3 linked regions of the Schizosaccharomyces pombe genome follow. The gene in region 1 interacts genetically with each later gene. Each region holds a gene or a part of one and is shown on either strand. Other genes may lie near its edges.

What was found. A genetic interaction does not mean that the proteins touch.
Region 2: of cdc18 (region 1) and cig2, a mutation in one rescues a mutant of the other (synthetic rescue), as found in Schizosaccharomyces pombe (3 studies listed by BioGRID).
Region 3: of cdc18 (region 1) and cdt1, changing one enhances a phenotype caused by changing the other (phenotypic enhancement), as found in Schizosaccharomyces pombe (3 studies listed by BioGRID).

The regions. Positions count from the first base shown.
Region 1 is NC_003423.3:2,214,724-2,220,668, forward strand, and holds cdc18 (MCM loader), read right to left. Parts: upstream 3,262-5,945; 5' UTR 3,151-3,261; coding exon 1,417-3,150; 3' UTR 1,232-1,416; downstream 1-1,231. Other genes in the region: arc1 (ARP2/3 actin-organizing complex WD repeat subunit Sop2), read left to right, coding at 1-895; protein tam10, read right to left, coding at 3,817-4,103, 4,151-4,212, 4,270-4,324, 4,371-4,473. UniProt on the Schizosaccharomyces pombe protein: Part of the checkpoint control that prevents mitosis from occurring until S phase is completed. Plays a key role in coupling S phase to start and mitosis. Acts at the initiation of DNA replication and plays a major role in controlling the onset of S-phase.
Region 2 is NC_003424.3:2,707,826-2,715,385, forward strand, and holds cig2 (G1/S-specific B-type cyclin Cig2), read left to right. Parts: upstream 1-1,956; 5' UTR 1,957-3,254; coding exon 3,255-4,490; 3' UTR 4,491-5,227; downstream 5,228-7,560. Other genes in the region: mitochondrial [2Fe-2S] cluster assembly and transfer glutaredoxin Grx5, read left to right, coding at 272-621, 954-1,044; P2 type calcium transporting P-type ATPase Pmc1, read right to left, coding at 5,228-7,560. UniProt on the Schizosaccharomyces pombe protein: Essential for the control of the cell cycle at the G2/M and G1/S (mitosis) transition. Interacts with the cdc2 protein kinase to form MPF. Interaction with res2 promotes the phosphorylation of res1 and inhibits MBF-dependent gene transcription.
Region 3 is NC_003423.3:475,685-479,961, reverse strand, and holds cdt1 (DNA replication licensing factor Cdt1), read right to left. Parts: upstream 2,571-4,277; 5' UTR 2,532-2,570; coding exon 1,263-2,531; 3' UTR 1,224-1,262; downstream 1-1,223. Other genes in the region: U3 snoRNP protein Utp15, read left to right, coding at 1-759; wpl1 (WAPL family protein), read left to right, coding at 3,442-4,277. UniProt on the Schizosaccharomyces pombe protein: DNA replication licensing factor, required for pre-replication complex assembly. Faithful duplication of the genetic material requires 'once per cell cycle' DNA replication initiation and elongation.

The DNA.
Region 1 (5,945 bases):
TGTTTATGAGAAACGTCCTGATGGGACTTGGAAGCAGACCCTCGTCTTACTTCGTTTGAATCGTGCCGCTACGTTTGTTCGTTGGTCGCCTAACGAGGACAAGTTTGCTGTTGGTAGTGGTGCTCGTGTCATTTCTGTTTGCTACTTTGAACAAGAAAATGACTGGTGGGTCAGCAAACATCTGAAACGTCCGCTTCGTAGTACCATTTTGTCTTTGGACTGGCATCCTAATAACGTTTTATTAGCTGCCGGCTGTGCAGACCGTAAGGCATACGTTTTATCTGCTTATGTTCGTGATGTCGATGCCAAACCAGAAGCCAGCGTTTGGGGTTCACGTTTACCTTTCAACACTGTTTGCGCTGAATACCCATCTGGTGGTTGGGTTCACGCCGTTGGATTTTCACCTTCGGGTAATGCCTTAGCGTATGCTGGCCATGATTCTTCTGTTACGATTGCATATCCCAGTGCTCCCGAGCAACCCCCACGAGCTCTAATTACTGTCAAATTATCTCAATTGCCTTTGCGTTCTCTTCTTTGGGCGAATGAGAGTGCCATTGTGGCTGCTGGCTATAACTATTCTCCTATTCTTTTGCAAGGCAATGAGTCCGGTTGGGCCCATACTCGCGATTTGGATGCCGGAACTTCCAAGACCTCATTCACTCACACAGGAAATACTGGTGAAGGTAGAGAGGAAGAGGGTCCTGTTTCATTTACTGCTCTTCGTAGCACATTCCGTAACATGGATTTGAAGGGCTCCAGCCAGTCTATTTCGTCTTTACCAACCGTTCATCAAAATATGATTGCAACCCTTCGACCTTACGCTGGGACTCCTGGCAATATTACTGCGTTTACCTCCAGCGGTACCGACGGACGTGTTGTTTTGTGGACTCTTTAGAAAAGATATCGGCAAATGAATCTTATCAAATCAATTATCGAATTTCCGTAGATGTTAATCTCATAGAATAAAAGAATTGAACAAGCTTTAGCTAGATATAGTAACTGTTATTCCGCAGCTTATATGATTACTATGTCGTCTTATAAATTTTTGTCAATCATATTCAGTTTTGTGTATATATTTTTTCTTAGAGACCCCAAAATTGAGAAGTGCTTTTGCTACGTAAGTTTACTTATACCACCACTTGAGACTGAACCACGGGTATGCGTTCTTACGAATAATCATTAGATATAACTTAGATTAAAGTGTTTATTAATTGTATAGTTAGTAAAATTAGTAAAGATCAACCTGAAAAGTTTAAACACCAAGTTGGATAAATAATATTGTTCAAATTTATGTAATCCAAACAACGAAATTGAAAGGATGTTCTAATTTGATCCTTTCGGCAAAATTTGAAAACCGTAACGCGTGAAATAAAAATATAATGAATAGAAAAAAAGAATGAGAAAGAAATGATAGTACTATCTTCTGTCAAAAAATCGTTTTAAGGTACCAATGTCTCCAACAGCTGTAATGACATCCATTTCTGGAACAAGCAAACTAATGATTCGGTCCTGAGGCTTTCCGTTACGCTGCTTCGTGCGCAAACGAATGATTGCAAGAGTTTCTAAAGAATTCGCGACATCGCAAAATTCCGAACTTGTTAATGGATAAATCAAACGATCTCGAAGACACAAAGAACTGTATTTTTCAAATACATCGGCAACACTCAATGAGGTTTTTTCACAAACAACAAGCGTACAAAGGATGGCTTTCTGTTGAAGACCAAGGTTTTTTAAACGAGCACTAGCAGATTGGCTCATAGCAGATGTCGCTCGGACAACATGAGCAATTGATGCTCTTGGTATATCAACAGAAGATAATGTGTTGTCATGTTGAGCTTTCCATTCTCTTTCCGCAAGTTCAATTGCATGCCTACATATGTCTAATGCTTTTCTCAAGTCACCACTTGAAGCTGCAACTTTCCGGGCACATAATTCAATTGCAGCAGGATGTATAAAAGGTGTTTCATCAGCATGCTGAGATACAACATTTATACTATCATCGCTTACTTCAGAGATTGATTTAATAGGAGTAAAAGGATTGTTTTTTTCTGATGTGGTAGCGGCGGTTTTCAAACGCGCTTTTATAATTGTTGAGATTTCTTGAGCAGTATAAGGCGTAAAAGAGAGTAATTTGGGAGTAATATGCTTTGTTCGTAAACGAGGGAGAAATCGATCTGTCATGTCTAAGGCATTTGCAATGCCTACCAAAATTAATCTCGAAGTCGGTCGAGAGGGCCATTCAAAAAGCGTGTACAGAACCTGCTGTTCGCGAGCAATCAAGTGATCCATTTCATCTAAAACAATAATGACTGGGTTATATAATTCATTGGCGGACTGGGTGAAATGCGACTCTAGTTCACATTGGAAATTGATGTGATGATCTTCATTTTCTAAAATTTCCTCTTTAACAATTTTAGAGTGAATTTTTTCAAAAATTGCTTTTGGTTCATTAATAGTCATACAATTAATGTAACAAACATTAACTTTGGGATAATCGCTCACTACATGATCCAGCACGTTGTGAAGCAGAACGGTCTTTCCTGTGCCAGGGGCACCACTTACGTACAATGCACCTCCAGCATTAGCATCAAGATGTTGACGAAAGAAAGATTCCACAATTGACTTCTCATTTTCACGACCCACGACTCCTGCTGAACGATATGATTTACGTAAACTCAATTTGGCAGTAGAATTATAGGACGGAGTGGAGGGTGTCGAAGGAGTGGGAGGAAAAAGTTGACGGTGAGGTGTCGATTGCAAAAGGCGAGTAGCAAATGGAACAGGATTACATGTACGATTTAATGATTTGGGTGTAACAATTTGAATGGTCCTTTTGGGGGTTTTAGGAGTTTGAGGTGTTGTGGGTAATTTAGGTTTCTTATTCTCCTTTAACTGAGCAGGAAAATTAGGATAAAGGTCAGTTTTCTCCTCTTGCAGTTCTCCTAGTTCATATTTTATTCTTTTTGTGGGTGTTTGGAAATGTGAGCTAGCCAGCGTACGTTTTCTGCTGGGTGTAGTCGGAATCTCTATTGAAAAGGAAGGTGAATGCTCCCTTTGATTAGTTTTGTTAGTACAGTCAATCAAGGCTGCAGAATCTATAAAACGATTGCATCTTCGAGGTGTATGACAACCTATTGGAGTTTCACACATATCGATACTTTATAGTAACCCCGTTTACTAATTATGTTATTTACCAATAGACAAGTCAGGTAAATTTGATAAAAGGGCTACTAAGTAATATTAACTTCGTGCTTGGTGTTTAAGTTTTGTTTAAGAGCAGATATGTCTTTTATAAATATACGCGACGCGACACGTAAACGCGAAATCTAATTAATCACGAAGAGTAAATGAGATGTCGCGTTCAACTCTACGTGTCGTGTCGCGTTCTACGCGCGAACCTTTTTACTCTATAAGTTTATATTCAGGTAATGATATTATTTTATAACGACTCATCCTCAAAGATATGAAATGCCTTCTCATATTCCAATTTAGTTACGACGTTAGTAAAATTAAAGTAAAAGACCCTAAATTCTTTTAATAAATTAGAAAATCTTTTTTCAATTATCCCTAAAGATAACAGAGGTCCCACGAACGAATTTTTGATGGACCATACCATCTTTGGTGCTAATGGCCAATAAAGCAAACAGCATTTCGATTAAAGAAAAGTAAACCTCTTACAATGTTCACTAAAATTGAATTTCATAGCAAAGTTTCCTCTAGTTTAGAATGCAAGTGAACACTTTAAGCTAGTTTAACAAAAGGAAGATGAGAATTTTGGTAATTATCCAAAAGAATAAACTAAACATAAACCCCAAATTACATGCCCAATCCCTTTTTTGTTCCTTTGTGTAAAACACCGTGCATATATTGTTGTTCTAGTTCTTTCTCTCTCTGCTTGTCATTTGTTTTATTAGATTGAGCAGACGGAGACGATTCAGTGATGGATGCAGCATTTTTTATACCCAACATTTTTAAAAATTTTGATTTTCGTTGATTTCCACCAGACAAACTCGCTGCAAGCCAGTAGTCAGTGTTTCCCTTATCCTGACTCCTACTTAACGAGTTTTTCATTTGATCATGATCATTTTCAGCTACGTTTTTTACTTTTCAGTGTTAACGAGCATTTACTGTTAATGCTTAATATACATACCCATAGGATCCTCCGCTAGAGTTTTGGTGTTTTTTATACTCGATCTTTCCCTTTCCTCTTTCCTGATACTATGTTAGAGTGGGAAGTAGTGATTTAATAAAAAGCATTAAAAAACATACTTAAGCTTTTTAACTTTATGCTTTAGCTTTTTGTATTGTTTTAACTCTTTTTCATCTGAACACTCATGTTAATGAAATTTAAAGAAACTTGCCCAACATACCGAGTTTTTTTTTTTCCTTTGATGAAAGCTTTCGAAAAGTAGAAACATCTGTTCCAAAAGGATGGATTTGCTTATCCTTCTTTGAGGATTTGGAGCTTCCCATTTTTTTTTTAGACCGTGGCGTTGGTGGAATTCCAATAGAGATAAAATCGTAAACAAATGAGCCAAATAAGCAATACCCTTAGACAGCTCGGAGTTTTATCTTTTTTCGTAAAAAAGTTTATGGATCTGAATACATTTCTAAACATTATAGTTAAGCTGCATATAGCCATCTATTGAGTACCAAAAATCTGTTCCGTTTTTGGAAAACATCTAGATAGATCGGTTGGCAATCAATTATTCTTCTTTTTCTACATCTTTTATGATCTTTGATGCTTCCTTGTGGTCCACTGAAGCTTCTGATTCAATTGTCTCAGGCGTCTCAACGGAAATAGCTGATGACGCTTTCATAGAAGGGACATTCACATTAGGTTCTTTAGCATTAGTCATTTTCTCTTCTAATTTATTTACTTCTTTTTTTTTATCTTTTTGATTCTTTTCCTGTAGTTCGGATCGCAAAGAAGATATCATACTGTTTCTGCTCTGCAACAACATATCAAGAATTTCAAGACTTTTTCCGTGATAGTCAACTTCATGAAGTAAGGGTCTATTTAGAGTTTTCCTTAAAAGATTAACAGTTTTGTCTTTAGCGGTAATTTGTCGTATTCTCTGATCCAACAGTGAACTTGATCTTGACGAACTTTGGCGGAGTAGACCTGTCTCCGTCCTCAGGAGTTGCTTTTTTCTTTCTTCCTCTAGTACTGATTTGTATTTATCAATTGACTGTTTGGCTGTATGGTGATATGCTGAAAGCGAACAGGACCCAGCAATTGTCCTCCATACCATCGGACGCAAACGACCATTCCATAGACATCTTCTTTTCGCAACACGTTTAGAAGCTTTTGTCCTGAGTATTCTTCCCCGTCATCATTAAAAGCCTCTATCTCATTGGGAAAACGCCAAGCTTGCATTTTATGATTGCAATGCTTTAAGTCGGCAGATTCTTGAAACATAAATCTATATACTGGGAGCATTTTTGGATCTTTAGACGGGACAAAGTAAGATAAAAATGTTGATTCTCTATCTGTAATTAAATTGGACATATAGGAGCATTCTTGTAAGGATTGCTTAGGAACCGCTAATGAGATCCCTTCATTGCCAAATTTAAGTTGAGATTGGCGCTTGTTCATATCATATCAATTCTTTCTTTGGAATAGTGGAATTAAATTTAAAAACTATGAGAAAAACATTGATTTAATTCAATTTCAAATCAGATTACGGCAAGGTGCACTTGTTGAGTTGGATGGTCCCATGAAAATTGCATTACAATCTCAATATAGATTACACTTTCAAGATTTACAAACTATTTTTTTTATCGATTTACGAATTTCTGAACGTATGGTTAGCTCGAAAATCCCATTTTGGTCGAAGCAAACGATGCAAATAGATACTAGGTAGATAATGGTAAACACCGACAATTTTAAATATTTTTTGGACAAATATATATAAACTTTTTTTTTTCTCCTGCTAAATTAA
Region 2 (7,560 bases), on another chromosome or scaffold:
TGCGTTCTTCTCGAAATCAGAAACTGATTAGTACAATATTAAGTCTTTTATCCCACGATATACTTTTCTAATAAAATAAATATTCTTATAAAACTTTTCTAAAAGTACTGATTTTCTATAATATTATACTGATTTAAGACTTGGAAGAATTCTATATAGCGCAATAGAACGTGGTACGGCTTCTTACACTTTTATCTGCGGCGAATCAATGAGTTGACATTCAAGCTCAAAATTGCCTTATTATAAACACTTTACAATATCCATATTCAAGATGAATTCGATGTTTAGATTTTGGATTCCTAAAACCAGTATATCCATGCAACTTCGCATGCTGTCCACACAAACTCGTCAAGCTCTTGAACAGGCCGTCAAAGAGGATCCTATCGTTTTATTCATGAAAGGTACACCTACCCGCCCAATGTGTGGATTTTCATTAAAGGCGATTCAAATTCTTTCATTAGAAAACGTTGCTTCCGATAAATTAGTTACGTACAACGTTTTGAGTAATGATGAGCTACGTGAAGGTATAAAGGAGTTCAGCGACTGGCCTACGATTCCTCAACTTTATATTAACGGAGAATTCGTGGGCGGTAGTGATATCTTGGCGTCCATGCATAAATCGTAAGTAATGTTTTAAACTGTATTTTTATTATTTGGTAGAGAGACGGTGAGGATTGAGGAGGTGTCATAGGAAATGTTAAAGATGATGAAGGAGGATTCTACAACTGTTTAATCACTCTAGTTGATATTAAAGATAAAAAAACCCTGTTATATTTTCGCTCTTTCTTCAAATGAACTTTCCCTTTTAAAGCATTGGATAAAAATCAACTATTAGTGTATCAGTGTCTTTAATTCGTCGTCTATATATGCCACATTGTTCTCTCCCTCATTTTTTCTCTCATATTTAATTATTTCTCCTTGTCAACATTTCTGTATTAACAATTTGTCTGTAGAGGAGAGCTTCACAAAATTCTAAAAGAAATAAATGCTTTGGCCCCTGAACAGCCAAAGGATAGTGAAGAGGAAACTACTAAAAAGGATTGAGTCCACATTGCAAATTAATTTGCACAACGTACCACGGTCTTGTGCATTTTTTAGTTTATTGGTCAACTTGACACCACAGGCCATGTATATCAATCAGACGTTATTCAATTATCTTTTTGCTGTACGCTTGATATTCTTTAATGAAGCTTTGAAATTCTGTTTCTCCTCTTTTTTGTGTTCATGCCCTTTCATGACAAAATGTTGGAAATAATGTAAAAGAGCTCTATAAGAAAAAATAATTTTTATCGGAAGTTATTTTTTGGATCAACCTCAATATCAATTTGAAAGCGATCATGTTCATGTTCATGTCCATCCAAATGACATAGAGAATGGAAATTAGTGTCGTGATTTATGCCTTATTGTTATTCCTTGACTTTTTTTTTAAAAAAAATGTCGTAAATTAGATTTAATGTTAAAGCGCTATTGCTGAATACTGTTTTATTTTGCTTATGTTGTTGCACAGAACAATGTCTTGGTAGGTGTAATTCACAGAAAGCATTACGATTGGTTATCTGATATGATTTAAAAATTCTTCTTTGATTATATAAAGTACTGGCTTATCGACGTTACGAGACGTTTACCAAACTTTTATTAACAGATGCTTGTGTTTCTTGACAAACAACATTATTCCTTCCAAGCTCAGCATATAGCGAATTATAGTGTAACTGCGATATAAAGTATTAGCGAACTCTCCCTTTTTAATTCTATTCAAATTGCGTTAGTTTGTGTAGCATGTAATGACGGCACGCGCATAGTGAATTGTAATATACAAAACGCTACACCAAAGCGCGCGCTCTAAAACACGCCAAAACGAGGTGCACGCAACTTAGCTTGCGCGAAAGCGCGTTTCTCGCGTCGCGTCGCGTTTACTTCTTTTATATGCTTGCTATGCCTGTCTTTTGCTTTTTCACTGACACTTTGACTTGTGTTGAGTTACAAGAAAGGCTTCAAAGGCACTTGTACAAGTGTAATTTCCCTTTTACAAGACTCTACCAAAGGTTGGATCCACCTTGAAGTCCTTCTCTTGTTGTCGCTGCTTTTTGCGTTTCTTCTTTTCTCTTTGAATATTCCTTCTTTCTAATTTCTTTTTTCAAATACATGCTATAGGGATCAGTTTAGGCTCCATATACTAGGTTGAGCTGGTTTTAACTGTAAACAATAGTAAATTAAGCTTTCAGTATTTTGAGTGTCAAGCTAGTTTTTACTCCGGAGTATCTTATTTCTACTGTACTTATTTTCTTTTAATTAATTTTTTACACTTTTCAGCTGCTAAGTGTCGGTTTCTATTGTGTACTTTACCGTTTTAAGTTTCTTTGTTTTCTTTGTTCTGGTTCGCTTATTGTCCTACTCTTTTACAGGAGGCGCTTGCCAAAGACAGTCATTTCTCTTATAACAAGTACACTATATCTTATTAAAACATAATTAATCGTCCCCTTTCGATATTAGTGCAACAATTGCTATCCTACAGTCTTCCCAATTGCAATTTATTTAGCCTTTCAGCATTGCTCTCGCCCTCAAGCTGAAAAGGTTTTACTCGCTTTTCTTGCTGGAAAAATAACACCTACATTTGTTATTCTTTTAAATTCGAACTATCAAACTTATTTGCTTGTATTGTTCGTCTTAGTGCTGCTTTTTCTGATCCATCGTTTGTTTATCAAACCTTCAACTTTGCTTTTTCTAAACTAATTACAAAGAAGTGTTCTTTTTAATTCTCTTCGTTAATCATTGTCCCTTTAAACTACGCTCTTGTGCTTTATAAGAGTTAATTCTGCATACCTCAAAGAGGTAAATTCATTTTCGAATCGAACGTTAAAAAATTTATCTTTACTTTTTTTTCTTTCTCAATTTTGATTACATCTGCTTGTTTTTTTTTTTCGTTTATATCCACAACAGTAGGTTGGTTTGGTTTGTTTACACAATTCATTTGTTTATGTTTGGACGATTTCTTTCCCTTTCTTCCTATCAACAACAATAGAATAATTCGGACCCATTGATTTATTCTCATTTAAAAGAGAAACTTTAAAAATTCGCTATAAGTGCTTTCTGTTTCTCGATCGCTCAATTTCCCTAATTTATCCATCTTGTCAATTGAGATTAATTTACCAAAAACAGTTTCCTTATTTTAATAAAAAGAAGACATTTTTGGTTACAAACAATCAGATATATTTCTATACGTTGATAAAAGGGTAATTTATCAATCCATATTTCATATGGCTCTCTATTCAATTTCAAAGCCTGTTGGTTCTAAAATCAATAAGCATAGTTATCAAGATGAAAACACACTTGTTGGCAAACAAGCTTTATCAAAAGGGACTGAGAAGACAAAATTATCTACAAATTTTGAAATTAATCTGCCACGTCGAACTGTCCTATCTGATGTTTCCAATGTAGGTAAAAATAATGCTGATGAGAAGGATACGAAAAAAGCGAAAAGATCGTTCGATGAATCTAATTTATCTACAAATGAAGAAGCTGATAAACCTGTCGAATCTAAATTCGTGAAAAAGTTGAAAGTTTATAGCAAAAATGCGGATCCATCTGTAGAAACTTTACAAAAGGACAGAGTCTCTAATGTTGATGATCATTTATCCTCCAATCCTTTGATGGCTGAGGAATACGCACCCGAAATATTTGAGTACATCAGAAAGCTGGATTTAAAGTGTCTTCCCAATCCAAAATATATGGACCAACAAAAAGAATTAACCTGGAAAATGAGGGAAATTTTGAATGAATGGTTGGTGGAAATACATTCCAACTTTTGTTTAATGCCCGAAACCCTTTATTTGGCAGTCAATATAATTGATCGATTCTTGTCGCGTCGTTCATGCTCTTTGTCTAAATTTCAATTAACAGGCATTACTGCTCTTCTCATCGCTAGCAAATATGAGGAGGTTATGTGTCCTTCGATACAAAACTTTGTTTACATGACTGATGGTGCTTTTACCGTAGAAGATGTCTGTGTCGCTGAACGTTATATGTTAAATGTTCTCAATTTTGACTTGTCCTATCCAAGTCCTTTAAATTTTCTTCGCAAAATATCTCAAGCAGAAGGTTATGATGCACAAACAAGGACATTGGGGAAATACCTAACAGAAATTTATCTGTTTGACCACGATTTATTACGATATCCTATGTCTAAAATTGCTGCTGCCGCAATGTATTTGAGCCGCCGATTATTGCGTCGCGGCCCATGGACGCCAAAGTTAGTTGAAAGCTCTGGTGGGTATGAAGAGCATGAATTAAAGGAGATAGCGTATATTATGCTTCATTATCATAACAAGCCTCTAGAACACAAAGCCTTTTTCCAAAAATACTCCTCAAAAAGGTTCCTGAAGGCTAGTATTTTTGTTCATCAACTCGTCCGTCAACGATACTCAGTCAATCGTACGGACGATGATGACCTTCAATCAGAACCGTCTTCTTCTTTAACAAATGATGGTCACTAACGAACGCTCTTATAAATTTTCTTACGCAAATATTCTGTTGAATATGAGGTTGAGCTCTTCTTTTATTATTTATTATCATAACTTATTTACTTTTTAAAGAGCTTCTTTTTCTTCTTCTCTTTCTTTGAATCTTATCATCTTTATGCAAGGACTGTTTTCAAGTATGTCATCAAGCCTTTCCTCCTTGATAACTAAGTCCTTAATTATATACCATATACCCAAGTTTTATCCAAGAGTTTTAGAATTGAAAATTTTGTAGTCTACTAAACAAACCGTGTTGATGCTTAATCCTCACACATTGTCTTTTAGATGATTCCGTTGATTCTAGAGTATTCGATAATTTCATTCCTTACTTTATGTTACGTTTACATTTTTTATTTCAAAATACGTGTACGTTGTTTCCTCATATTTCTGTTAAACAACATGTTTCTAATTAATGGAGTTTTCTTTATTCATTCATAAAACTTAAAGCTCAAGCGGTATATAACAAACTGGCTAAACCATTAATAGGCAAAAACCAAGTAACTCATAAAGATAAACAAAGAAAGTAGACATAAGGAAAAAGGTAAAGCTGACTCGTTTTCTATACAAAAAGGGAATTTTTAAACCTAAGAAACAAACTTTTAATTGATAACAAATATAGAAAAAGAAGGCGATTTCCAACGAGAATAAGGAAATAAAAAAGAAAAATTCGATAATAGAATCACTGTTATTCTGTCTCATACATTCGTCTTAAATTAATGAACATTTGAGCTTTTTTTATCGAGAGCTTGGCGATTGTGAGAAATCCAAATGTCATGCCCACCTAATCGTCCGCTGGCTTCACTAACAAGTGTTGAGATAGGAATCATTAAAGCTACGCTAGTAGCTGAAGAAACAGAAGGTGAACGGATCTTCATAAATCTCTGTTTTACACGGGGACGAAGACGTTCAGGAAGCGCTTCCATCTGTTTATCAAATTTGGAGTTGTTGAGTAGGTGGCGTATCCTTCCTCCTCTAATGCGTTGAACGAAGCCAAGGGAATGACGAATAGAGTCAATAACTTCGTTGGGAGATGTGGGTTCATACGGGATAAGACTAAGGGATTCAACATCATGATCGGTTGAACGGCGCTTAGAACGGAACCTAGGATTTAGAATCCAAGAGAAAACAGTGTCAATTGTCTTAACCGGAAGGACCTTTCTTAGGAAATTGTTTGGTACACAACGAATCAAGGCTCCAAGTGGGATAGAGATAACACCAAACACGATGGAAATCGCCCATCCTTTACCATCGATTCTTTTTACGGAGAATGCGGCACCTCCGAAAAAAACAATTATAACTTGGATACCAGCAACAATAACGAAAATAGCAATAAAGAGGAAGTTATGGTTAATACGTTCAAAAATATTGAGCTTGTTATCCAATCTCCGATTGTTAATTTCGTTAAACAGCTGGAGCCAGACAAAGGTATTGAAAACAATAGTATTCATGTCCGCAGTATTGGAAGGGTAATGGAAGATACTATTACCAGCAAAGTGTAGCACCAAAGTAACAGCAAGTTGGTACATAGATTGACAAATAATCATTTTCCACATGTCAAAAGTAAAAAGCGATGCACCTGGTTTCTCAGGTTTCCTCTTTAACACTTCAGGAGTAGGAGGGTCAGTGGCAAGTGCAAGAGCAGCAAGTGTATCCATAATTAAATTAACCCACAAAAGCTGAACAGCAGTTAAAACAGAGCTTTGGTCAGTCGAGGCAACAGCAGAGATAATAGTCAAGAAAACAGCCGTAATATTCACGGTAATTTGAAATTGCAGGAATTTTTTTACAGCGTCGTTAACGGTTCTTCCCCAAGCAATTGCTTTCACAATTGACGAGAAGTTGTCGTCCATAAGGATAATATCGGACGCCTCCTTGGCAACTTCGGTTCCCGATTTACCCATTGAAAAGCCGACGTTAGCTTTTTTTAGTGCAGGCGCATCATTGGTACCATCACCTGTAACCGCTACTACGTTACCAAGCTTCTGCAGTCCTTCAATCAATAACTGTTTGTCCAAAGGAGATGAGCGTGCAAGTACATCTAATTTGGGTAAGATTTCTAAGCGTTTCTCATCAGAAAGAGATCGAAATTCCGGTCCTTCCATGGATATTCCATCCTCTGTGTAAATTCCGCACTGCGAAGCAATAGCCTTAGCAGTAACAATATTATCACCAGTAACCATACGAACAGTCACCCCTGCACCTTGGCAAACCTTTACAGCCAAAGGTACATCTGGCCGAATAGGGTCCATGATACCGAAAAATCCTAAGAAAGTCATGTCTGTAAATGCGTCTTCCCATTTCAAAGGATTAGAACTATCCTCGTCATTGGTGGGAATATCTTTGGGAGGCCAAGAGTCAAACACACGATAGCATAAACCTAAAGTACGAAGAGATCTTTTGGCATATCCAGTGATCATTTCTTTAAAATAATCTGCATGAGAATGCATATCTTCAACTTCGTCAAGGGAGCCATTGGTAATAACTGATGTAGACTGTTGCAAAACTCTTTCCGGCATACCTTTTACTACAAAGTAATACTTGTCTTTGTATTCAAATATAGCACCAGATGCTTTGCGGTCAGAGGAAAATGAGAAGAATTGCTTGATATCAACGCTTGAACGCATGCTATCGACGTTTGTAAGTCCCAGCTCTTTGACTGACATATCAAGTAATGCTGTTTCTGTCTTAGAACCTATAAACCTTGGGGTGTCAGAATTATCCTCAAATAGCTGTCGACATGTCGAATTGACAGCAATACTGTAAAGAGTTAAGTCCCGAAGTTCTGGGGAAAGGCGCTTAAAGGCGAATGCGCTAGCACCAGCGTCTTCGAACTTTGAAGAATCGGAACCCTGATCAACGTTGGTAGGAGTTTCATCATTATGATCAAAAAACAACACATCTGTGCCAAATCCACCCGCAACAACAGTCATTCGATTTTGGGTTAACGTACCAGTTTTATCCGAGCAAATGTTAGTAGCTGTTCCCATCGTTTCACAAGCTTGTAAGTGACGGACCAAGTTATTATCTTTCTGCATGCGATTTGTAG
Region 3 (4,277 bases), 1.7 Mb from region 1:
ACGAAGAAGCTGTCTAATCATCAAAAGAGTATCACATGCCTTGCCATGAACTCCGAGAATACTAGACTTTTGAGTGGTGGTTTAGACGGACATGTGAAAATTTATAACATCTCCGATTGGAAAGTTGTCCATGGCATGAAATATTCTGGCCCTATTTTATCTATGGGACTTTCTCCGGATAGCTGCAATTTAGTTGTGGGTATGTCGAACGGTACATTATCGCAACGGACTCGACGTATAACCAAGCAAACGAGCTCAAAAACTCCTTTCTTAGGGGGCGTCGGAAGTGCTTTTGGTGTAGTAGGTAAAAAGAAACAAATCTATAAGGGCGAGAACGATGAATTTTATGTCGAAGAGGCTAGACGTAAAAGACTTCGTCCTTTCGACAAAGCTTTAAAATCATTTTGTTACTCTGATGCTTTGGATATGGTATTGGAGAACGGATCACCTGTTCTTATCATAACTATGCTTATTGAGCTTCTTCATGTTGGAGGGTTACGGATTGCATTGTCTAACAGAGATGATTTATCTCTTACTCCTTTGATAAACTTCTTAAGAAAATATATAAGAGACCCTCGTTTCTCCGAAACTTTATGTATAGTTACTAGCACCATTTTAGATATATACGGAGCTGCTCTTGGGGGCAGCGTAATGGTGGAAAATGCAATTTCAAAGCTTCGTGAAAAAGTTGAGCAGGAAGTAGCGGTTACTCAAAGGGCAAATGAGTTGGTTGGTATGCTTCAGATGTTGTCTGCTTGACCAATGATTATGATATCTTAATGTGCGAGTTATACCTCAATTTGTGTGTTCTAACTAGCAACCTTTACATTATCGATATGATTCACTCAGATTGTTTATTAAAAACGGCGCCTTATTTGAGATTTTTAATTACAGCAATAACTGCCACCCTTTGCCGCTGGAATTGGTAAATATCAAAAAATTTTATTCAATGTTTGGGTGTTAATTTAAAGTATTCGCAGAAAAACAAAAACTTGGGATTTATGGCAGGTTAAGTGGTCTTAAAGGAAATAATTATTTATTAAAAAAAAGTAATTTTGTAGCTTGTTAAAAAGGATAACCGGATTTCATGTACCTAGAAGAGTAAATCAACCAAAAACATAATAACAAAAGTAAATTAATGAAAGATTCCATAGTATCATAATATTGGTGATGGAAATTATATAGATCGTAAAAGATAGTAAACGTTAAACCACTGCCAGCAGTGGTGATCTTAGGCATGTCATTCGAAACATCGCCTACAATTAAGAATTTGAAAGAATAGTGATGCTAGCCTTTGTTTGCAATTCTTCAATTAATTGGGATCGCAAGTATGGTTTCCCATTAACAATCCTGCTGAATGTGACTACTTGAATATTACCAAGAAGATTGATAGTGCACCAAGCAGGCAAAGCTTTTGAAAGCAACTCAATTGCTTTGGCACACTGGTCAGGTGATAAGCTTGATGATATCGACATTTGCATGCTTGTCACAATTTCAGACATAGAAAAAGATCGTTTAGTTGGCCAAGTGGAAAGCTGAACAAAAATGAGATCAATAATGCGGACAAATGAGACCTTTTCTTTTGCTAGAGTATGAACAACTAGGTTGTTTTTAAATTCTTCAGCTTTTTTTGCTTCCATTGCTTTTTGCTTTTTACGCACGCGATCGAACAGAGAAGATTGTCTCAAAGTTAACTGAGATGATGTTAGCTTACGCGATGAATTTTGAACAGATGAAGAACTTTGATGGGATTTCAAATTGATTTTTGAATTCACTGACTTTGACAAAGTGGACGAACTGTCAAGCATGCTACACGAGACTAACTCATTAGCATATTTTGCCGTGTTAGTAGTGAATTTTGGTTCTAGAGTTTGTGTGGGAATACGTAACTCGCGACTTGTTGATTTCTCCAAATTGAGCTTTCGAACTAGTGAACTTTCATTAACAGTATTCTTGGATAGACTGGGTAAAGCTTGTAACTGTTGAGCAGGAATCTCAGTTTCAGAACAATGCTCTAACAACCATTTTTCTAGTCTCCGTTTAAATTCAATGGAGCGGGAGAAGGCTTCAGGAAGATTCGCATTGCGAGGGTATGACAGTTCATATGTTGCAACACGCTTTCCTTGATGAATAGTAAAACATGGGGTAATAGCAAATGACTCTGGCCATACGGTTAAAATCTGAGCGAGATGAGTTATTTTTAAGGAGATTTTGGTGAGACCAGAGACTTTATTTTCTAACAGCACAAAGGTTGGTTTGGTATTGATGGAGAGGTGAAATTTTACACATATGTCGACTGCATTAAAGACCTTTTCTAAGAAAAGAACTGATTCATTTTTAACTGGGGGTAAAACCTCATTTTGTTCTAAAGACTCAGTGTCCAAGTTCTCTTTCAGCCTTTTAACAGCTGGTATTATTTGAGAATCCTCAGGATTTTTGGGTGGCTCAATAATGGCCGCATTCGACCTTTTTGATGAGGATCGAGTTTTACGGACAGAGAAGTTCAATTTTGTTTGCGATCCAGCGCTCATGATTTGAACACAAAATCCAAAAATAAGGATATTGTTGTCGTGACTATATAGGGCGCGACATTTCATTTATATCGAGGGTTATATTAAATTTGAGCGTGTCGCGTTTGTTGACGCGTCGCGTAGCTATCGTGTCGCGCTTGCTAACTAGTTCACATTTGTCCGACTAATCAGTTTATGTCTTACTTAGCCTATATGATTCAGTAGATTATATTGAATAAATAAGTTCCAACACTTGTACAAAATTCACAAAACAATTTTTTAACTACAGCTTTTCATTTTCCGAAGTTTTTATAGAATCTCTTATACGAGTTTAAAATTATTACAGGATGCATCGTTATATAAATTTTGAATAACTCCTTTGCTCTGCGAGATATTATTGAGTTGTTCGTTGTCGAAATTTTCAATAATATGTTACATGTCACAATGATTTCTGTATAATAAAGGTGTTGCACCAAGTTCAGGCTCTCTGAAAACAAACTTGTGTCAAATAGCCACTCGTCCACTTATGGTCTTCCATAAGTTGTACGAATTCAAAACTTTTAGTTAACTTTTTTACTATCAGTGGATAAGTTGCTATAATAAATGAATAAAAAGATGCCCTGTATGATTTCTATCGACTAAGTCTTTTCTATTTATACTGGGTAGAGTAACAATGTGACTCAAATATCTATAAGGACCGATTGAAATCAACCAAGTACAAATAGAAAAACGATTCTAAAATTACTGAGTATAAAAAACGAATTTCTCATCAAGGACCCTATTTTCTTTTTTCTTTGCTCAAGAAGTTATTAAGCTCTATTTTCGAAGGTTTTCACTCACTCGACAAGCTACATTGTGAGTTGGTACGACCGTGTTCCTCCATTTTTGTAAAGAATCGATGTCAAGCCAGGCGGATTGAAGAAACCTTGAAATGAAAAGAGGAAAATGTAAGGAAAAAGATAATGGTTTGAAGAGAATTTCTTCGGAATCGGAAGTTTGGAACTTTTTAGACGTGACAGTTTCAGAGTTAAACAAGCAAAAGCGCTCGCCAGGACAGACCGTGTCTAAACGACTGCATAAAAAGCAAAGGGTCGTTAGTAATCCTGATTTGAGTTTACCGTCTTCACCGGTAAAACAAATTTTAAGAAATGGACTTCAGAATTCAAAGTACGGTTCTCATAAGACAGGACTGGAAAGGTCCGCGAGCTGTAGTAGTATTGATGCTTCCGCAAACCATTCTTCCACTACCTATCGGGAACAAAGATCGTATTTGATGGAGGAAGGATTAGATACTCAGCCAATTGTACCCCGTGAAGTATCCTCTGGTCGAGAATTGGATTCAACCAACCATACTATTGGTACAGAACGTGCTTTTTTGATAGAGGAAGACGTATCAGAAGATGATGAAATTCAAATGAAAAGTATACATGAACTTCGCTTTGCTGGAGAGCAGCAAAGGATCGTTGATGAAATTGAATACTTAGTGGACGGAGTGACTTTCTCAGGTAACTCTTCTGCTTCTCGCTATTTGAGTTTAATAGGAATCGCTGAAAAAATGTTTGACAATTCATTTCGTTTATGCTTAAAGTCGATACGGGATGTCTTCTTGCGAATATTTGAAGAAATTGATCCTAAAGATACTTTACACACTTTTTTGCAGATTTATATATTTGCAACTATGGCTAATGAAATGGATTGCATGAGTTCCTTGCTTGATGCTTACTCAAACAATGTTAAACTTCTTTTGCAAACGGCTATTACTTTAGA